2 linked regions of the Daphnia pulex genome follow. Each later gene encodes a partner of the first gene's protein in a complex. Links are inferred from orthologs where the notes say so. Each region holds a gene or a part of one and is shown on either strand. Other genes may lie near its edges. The genes, in order: polycomb protein Asx-like and mucin-5AC-like.

The links.
Region 2: polycomb protein Asx-like (region 1) and mucin-5AC-like share a complex: the UniProt entries of both Drosophila melanogaster proteins name them as parts of the polycomb repressive deubiquitinase (PR-DUB) complex. The link is inferred for Daphnia pulex from reciprocal best matches to the Drosophila melanogaster genes Asx and sba.

The regions. Positions count from the first base shown.
Region 1 is NC_060017.1:5,840,310-5,844,228, forward strand, and holds the start of polycomb protein Asx-like, read left to right. Parts: upstream 1-1,592; 5' UTR 1,593-1,771; intron 1,772-1,852; 5' UTR 1,853-1,876; coding exon 1,877-3,919. Other genes in the region: zinc transporter 2-like, read left to right, coding at 1-38, 113-186, 261-366, 430-486, 551-628, 684-829. UniProt on the Drosophila melanogaster protein: Non-catalytic component of the polycomb repressive deubiquitinase (PR-DUB) complex, a complex that specifically mediates deubiquitination of histone H2A monoubiquitinated at 'Lys-119' (H2AK118ub1).
Region 2 is NC_060024.1:8,819,507-8,823,258, reverse strand, and holds part of mucin-5AC-like, read right to left. Parts: intron 2,028-3,752; coding exon 1,904-2,027; intron 712-1,903; coding exon 1-711. UniProt on the Drosophila melanogaster protein: Non-catalytic component of the polycomb repressive deubiquitinase (PR-DUB) complex, a complex that specifically mediates deubiquitination of histone H2A monoubiquitinated at 'Lys-119' (H2AK118ub1). Important for maintaining stability of the PR-DUB complex.

The sequences.
Region 1 (3,919 bases):
CACTCACGATGATGTTGAGAATATCAACGTTCGAGCGGGTAAGCAATACCTATTTTTGCGATTGACAGAAACTTTGGTTATTAACATATTGTATTTTACTTTGTTCTTACAGCCTTTATTCACGTTGTTGGAGATTTCGTTCAAAGTCTCGGCGTTTTCATTGCCGCAATAATAATTTTTTTCCAGGTTGGTTTTTGCCTTTTTGTCAACTGTCGAATATCATCGCTAATTCTGACTCATTTTTTTTTTTTATTTCATAGCCGGATTGGGCATTTATTGATCCTATCTGCACTTTTCTATTTTCGATCTTAGTTCTTTTCACTACGATCGCAATTTTAAAAGATGCGTTGACTGTTTTGATGGAGGGTAATAGTTGTAATTCTTTTTCAATTGATTTCATTTCATCTATTCAACTCTCATATTTTACAGGCTTGCCTCGGGGACTGGATTTTAATAGAGTACAGCACACGTTTTTGTCTATCGATGGTATTTCTACCAAATTTTGTAAGATTAAATGTGTGGTCTAATTTTTTTTTCTTCTGTTCATAAGGCGTGATTCGTGTACACAACCTTCGTATATGGGCTCTTACAATGGATAAAGTCGCCTTGTCCGCACATTTGGCCATTCGTAAGCAATAGTAACTTAACACTTGTTTTTCAACTAACTTTTAGTTTTTTTTTAGGGCGTGGGTCGAAGACTCAAGAAGTGTTAATACAAGCTTCGCAACTGGTGCGTTCTAAATTTAATGTGTTTGAAATGACGTTACAAATAGAGAAATTTGAGGCTGGAATGGAAGATTGTGTGCAGTGCCAAGATCCTGTAGATTGATTCTTTTATAGAAACTGTGTATTTGCAATCTCAAGTCCAAACTCCCTTCTGAGAATTGCATTTTCTTATATTTGCTCATATATTGGCCTCGAACATATTAAAGCCTTACAAACGATATGTTTGCTTTGTTCGCTATGTAATTGGTTTGCTGCATGAAGTTGAATAAAATAATTGTACTCTTTTATTTCGCTCGTCATAGTTGGGGCACAGACAACGAAGTATCCATGCGGTCATTCTCAATACTTGCCAAGTTAACACGCATAACATTAATACCCTTCTTTAATTCCTGTCGAGTAAAGATGAATAAACATTCTTAAATATGCTTTATCGTTAAATATACCTTAATTTCTGCTTGTTGTTTTGCAAGTCGTATTTTAGTTAAGACTAGATCTTTCCCCTGAGCAGCAGGAGGATAGGAGGAGTCACATTATTTTCCTCTAGAAAAAAAAACGTAAAGGGTTTAAGCAACCGTTTTTCACAACGGAAAGCCAGAAGCCTTCTACGTTAAGGTTGCTTAAACCGAAAATACGTTATACGAATTACGAATACGGAATACCGTTGTGAAAAACGGTTGCTTTTATTAAACCCTTTTACGTTATTACAGTAAAAGTTAAAACGCTTAAAGAGGCTGCAGTATGAATGAAGCCTTATGTCTAATAATGCTTTAAAGTATAATAATTACTTTAGTAAAATTTATAGGATTTTTTCAAAATAGAAAGTTGTCCGTTGTTTACAGTCTTTACCGCCATCTAGGAGCGCAATACAACATTGCGACAAACGAGACAAACACACAAAAATGGCCGACAGTTGAATTTTTTTTTTCATCAATGATCAATGAAAATTTTTGTTCAAATCTCAGTAAAAACTGTTAAACTACACTCGAGTTAGAGTGAAGGAGGTGCATAAAATATTTTTCGTAGTAACAACGTGAAACTTTTTCATGTAAGTTGAGTGTGAAAATTTTAAGTGACAAATTCATACATGTTCAATTGTTTTGTTTTTTTTTGTTGTTGTTATCACTAGATTTTCTAGTTGGCAAACGAAGAAATGTCTGAAAGCTTTGGAATTGACGTTAGTGTGGCTGATTCGATAAGCCCTGAGCCACGAATGCTGAAGAGACCAACATTGCAGTTAGCCTTGAAGCAGCAGGCTAAACGAAGAAGGAGGAACACAAGCATAGCTACACAAGGAAATGTGAATGGAATGCCACCTATCCCAAGAGTGATTGTTAAAGTGTTGCCTCCATTGCCTTTAAATGAACGGAACAAAGTGCATGAAGGTACTGAATCAGAAACTGAAGAAGTTCAACCCATAACTCCGAGAAATGCTTCAGTAAGTGTACCAACTCAGACAACCATGAGAGAAGTGCTGGCATCCATTCCTGGTTTTAAAACAACAAAAAGAACTACAAGAAATTTATCTGCTGCAGCTCAAATACAAAGAGCTCAAGAGGGTTGTGTTGATCTTCAAAATCCATCTTCAATTCTGGCCAAGGCAAATCTTCGTGGAATCCTTAACAAGCATACATTTGGGAGCTTACCCCCACTGTATCAACACAAACTTGTGCAATTGTTACCAGAGGTCGACAGATGTCCTGATGGCAGTTCAAAACTGAGTAGCACTGCCCTTAGCAACGAATTTTTTGGCCGTGCTTGTCAAAAGTGGAGAGATCGTCTTGCCGCGGGTGAATTTACCCCAGAATCCCAGCAGAAAATCAGAGCTGAAGCCGAGCGGGACAAGGGAAAGTTGGATCCATGGAAAGTAAAACATTTCGAACCGTTTTGGGGGACCAAAGGCGAATCCTCTTCTCAGGAGCTTTCTACCAGACTTCCTTCAAGTAGTAGAGCTTGTACAAGTGCAGCACCATCCAAAAAGAAATCGACCCCCTCAGACGTAGTTGATGAAGATGAAACTCCACCCAAGAAGCGCATGGGTGGTCGGAAAATAGGAAGAAGACGAATGAAACGAAAAAAACCAATCAGAAAAATTGTCATATCTACTCTATTGAATAGTGAAGACAAAACCCAAATTACTTCAGAAGAAGCTACGTTAGTTTCCGAAGAAATCTGCTCCAAAGATGTTATGTCGGTCGAATCCTGTGAGATAGCTGAGATGCAGCCTATCGAAATCATTGAGATAATCGAACCTGTTCACCCCTCTACCGACACAGATGAACCTGAAAGCGTTTCTGGGATTGAATTTGACTCTTCAAATGTTGAAAAGGAAGAAGTGTTCGCCTCAAACCCAACAGAAGAGAGCGACTGCGAAGAGCAGTCATCAGTCCAAGCGACACCATCAAATGACTCAATTATAGAGATTTCAAATCGTCTGGAGGAACCATCGTTAACTGCTCCTCAACCAGTAGAGATCAATATTGGTCAAGACAAATTTGATGGTGAAGAGTGGGATGGTACAAAAACCCTATCAGCGGAATCGAATAACCAAGTCGGGGAAAATGCTAATTTTGAAGTCCAGGAGATGTCCGCTGAAGTTCGTGCATCTGAGGAAGAAGACGTTTTGTGTCTCAGTAATCCTCCCACTATTAAGGACTCACTACCGTCCTCGGACACGGATGAAGAAAAGGAGTCCAAGGAACAAGATGTCGATGAACGACAAATGGAAATTGACGATAGCCAAGCATTAAATGAAATGAAAGATTTTCTTAGTAGCAGTGTAGGGCACTTTGTTCAGGAAGATTCGTCACCAGAAGATTTTTTCCAGAGTCATCAAGTGACGGAAGCTCTAGAGTTGTTGAGAGATATTCACGACAGGGAAGAGTCTGTACCTGTGATAGCTGAACAGCAAAAGATCTCGTCGCCAGAAAATGTAACAACTCATAAGCAAGATGAATTAGATTCAGCTGTAGCTGGACGTTCGTCGCAAGAACAGCAACAGATGATTGAGCCTTCCGCAACGGATATTCAAGATTCACTTGTGAAAACGACTTCCGTAGCTATTCCTGCACAACAACCAAAAGATTTATTGCCGAAAACAACCGAAGTACCCCTGGAAAACAGGACAGATGATTCTAACCGTAAATCCGAGCCTGCTATTTTGACTGGAACGACGCCGACAAATGTTTCCACGAAA
Region 2 (3,752 bases), on another chromosome or scaffold:
GGCTTGAGCGGCAGCTTCCGCAGCGGCCGCCACGTCCTTTTGTCTGTCGAGAACTTCCTCCATCGAGTCGGGGATGCAGTCGAGTAAATCGCCCAGCAATTCTTCTTGCGTCTGCTCCGCTTCGGCCGTTTCTGTCGTCGTCGTCGTTGAAGCTGGCGGTGGTGCAGGTGCGGCCGGAAGCGGTTCCGACGGAGGTGGCGGCGTAGGGACCGAATTGTTTCCGCCATTCTGCAAACTACTTTGCAACAGGACCGTTTGCTGGGCCAAATAGGCGTTGGGATCATCGAAAAACGTCGGTCCGTTCCCAGTTGTTGTTGACGGCTGAGTGGAACGAGCCTGCGGCAAGAGGCTGCCGGCCGGCGGCCGATTCTGCTCCAACGGAATTTGCCTGACGTCCACATTGGGACACGGAGAACGTCGAAAGAGCAAAGGTTGTTGTTGTTGTTGAGACTGCTGAGCGGGTGGCTGTTGTTGTTGTTGTGGCTGGATAACCGGAAGAGTCTTGGTGGTCTTGCCCGACTTGTTATTCATTGCATTTCCGCTCTTTTTTCGTTTGACGGCCGATGATTTCGCCGCCTTGTCCGTCGTCACCGTCGCCGCTGCCGCCGCTGTGGTCGCCTGGGCCGCCTTGTCCGTGCTGACATCTCGCGACTGTTTGTGGCAGCAGGTCGATGACTGGGCGTCCAGTGACGTCTCGGCTTTGCACGCCACCTGAAGACAAACACACAACCAGGGCAAACACGAACACACACAGGAAAGGAGGAGGGAAAAAAAGAAAAAGAAAAAAATCCAAAAAAAAGCGATCAATAAAATGCCGGACGTTCTTTTCTTTTCATTCTTCTCCTCTTTATCGGTCGTGAAAAAATAATAAAAAAAAGAAAAAAAGAAAGAAACTAGACATTCACGCACGCGCCGTGTCGTGCAGACGACACTCTGCGTCGATATCAAATCGCTGCGGTAATTTCATCAACTTTTCTCCCATTTCCTTTTTCGTCCGCGGCCAAAACGAAACGACACACACACGTAAACCCCCCCCCCAACCCACCCAACAAATTTTTCGTTCGCCTTTACCAATTTTGTCTTTTTTTTTCCCGACCGCCACGACACCATCACCAACCGGATGGAAAAGGAAAGAAAGAAACAAAGGAATAAGGACGCGCGCGCGCGCACGCCGCCATCTCGAATTTATATTTTTTTGCGCAATTTTTGTTGTTGTTGTTGTTAAAGAAATCACGAAATGTCGTCGTGAGACGCCATCAGAGATCTCCCGCGCATTCGGGTGTTATTCAGTTACGGTCGGTTGTTGTTGTAGTTGGGGGCCCCAGGGATGGAAGGAGAAAAGGAAAAAAGACAATCATAAAAAAGAATCTTCAGAGTCACGAAAAACCGATAAATGATAGTAATATACTTTGAGTGCGTAAAAGATGATTACAACCAAATAAAAAAAAAAAAAAGAAAAAATAATTTTATTTTTTTATGGAGAGGATGAAATTCTTTGTTGTATTAACTACGTAAAAAATTTTGAAAAATTCCAAATGAAAAAAAAATGGGAAATTCTACTCTACACATTCAGGAAAAAAAATTAAGAAATAAATCAACACAATTTCTGGTTTAATTTGATAACAAAACTTGAAAAAAAAAGAAAAAATCTAGGTAAATTCTTCATTTCGGGGTGAGTGGGGAGAGCAAAGGATGAAACCGAAGACGGCGGCGTTATTATACAAAAGACCAGTTCCAAGAAAGAAACACAGAAAAAGATTGTTATAACTTATAGTATTATACATAAACCCGATATAGCCAACAGAAAGAAAGTTTAATAACGCGGAGATCATTCGAGATTTTTATAAATAGGATAAAGATGGCGGCATTTGTTTTTTTTTGTTTTTTAGAAGGAACAACTCACCGACGGATCGAAATTAAAGACGTGCTGAAGTCGGAGCGGACAAGGCAGTCCGCACTTGCAGGTTCCGTCGCGCTGGACGTAGTTGGCCGCGTCCTCCAGCGACGACAATCGGCAGCCACTCGGACTATTCGACGCAACAAAGGAAAAAGAAAAATAATAATTGAATTTTCATCGAAACGAAATTAAAATCACGAATGCGATTAAGGCTAAAAGAAAAAAAAAAGAAAAACAGATTTGAACGTAAATTAACGGCCACTAATATTCCATTCATTTAGGTCGTAATCACGTCTTGATTGATTCGGTTGATTAAAGAGTCTAGAGGGAGGAGGAGGATCGGGTGGGCGAGTGGGTGGGGTGATAAGAAAAAGGAGAAGAAGAAGAAACTCTGGTGCGGATCGATAAATCCGGAAGACAAGTCTTGAGCATTCCCTGAGCGACGCTTTACGACGACGACGACGGCCGCGCGCAGACACAAGAGCACACAGCAGGAGATATTGATTCGTTGCCCAGCCGGAAGAGAGAGAGAGAGAGAAGGATGGGCGAAAGGGAGAAAGCGAGAGAAAGGGATGACGAAGAAGAAGAAGACCAAAAAACATCCAAGACAGACACACACACACACAAAACATTTTGAATTGAGATGTCTGGATGCAAGCCCAGAATTCTTGAAAAAGAGGGGGGAAATCATCTCATCCCACCCTACACACACACCCAGGGGTTAGAAGAACCTTTCCATCCATCCACCGCAATCCGGTTCTTGTTTCCGGAGACAAAAACGACATTCGTCGTCTATAACCTCGACGGCTATACGACAAGATCCGGAATACATAATTTCCTAGATGCAACAACAATTGCCCCCCTTTTCTCTCTTTCTCTCTGTCACACACGTTCACAACGGAATTCCGCATTTGCTCGGCGTAACTGGAAAAAATAAAAAGGAAAGAAAAATATCCTGGCGTGTGAAACCAGTTAACCAGAATAAGAAAGAGAAAAAAAAAAGTCGTTTTTTCTTCATTTTACAACCCCCGAGGAAAACGGGTCTCGAAATAGATTAAGAGGGGGGAGAATCAAAAATACAACAACAGACACCCAAAAAAATAGGGAGCTGACTACTAAAGCGGCAAAACATTTAAAAATAATTTCCTCCCAGAGGTAGATGTGGTAGTAGTCCAGGGGTTAAAAGAAAACCAGGGGATATGGGAAATGCGGAGGGGGTTGTTGTTTGGGGTTGGTAGCCGCCGCCGGTAGTTCGTAATCGTTCTCGAATGAATTCTTCTCTTTACTCTACATTTTTATATACATTTTTAATGTTTTTTCTCTAGGTACCATCATTATTTCCCCCCTCACAATTTCGACCCCCTAATTTTTTTTTTCAGTTTGAAAAATTTCTTGGGGCCCTTTTCAGGGTTCCTCGTTGTTTAAACCACACCTGGAATAGTAGTTGCAACAGCAGCAGCAGCCCCCCTTTGCACTGGAAATTATAAAAAAAAGGCTGCCGGCCCCACAACGTATTCCCCTTATAGACCCAACAGTCTCTTTTTTTCATTTAATTTTTTTTAGGTACTAGTCTGACGTCAACCAGGTGTGCAGCGCGTATGTATGTTATAAGGAAAAATAGAGAGACTCCCCACGGGGTGTTCCTTATTTCCCGACTAACAAACGCCGGAGAGACATACGTGTGTACAACAAGGGGGGAGAGAGAGAAAGAGGAATAAGAGCGAAAAAAGGCCAAACAGGAAAAATAAAGCTGGGCGGTTAGACAGACTCGAACCCACTAACGTAATCCAGGACTTCTTTTTTTTTCTTTCTATTGATGATCAAGTCGAGGTCAATTGATCGATCAAACCGCCGT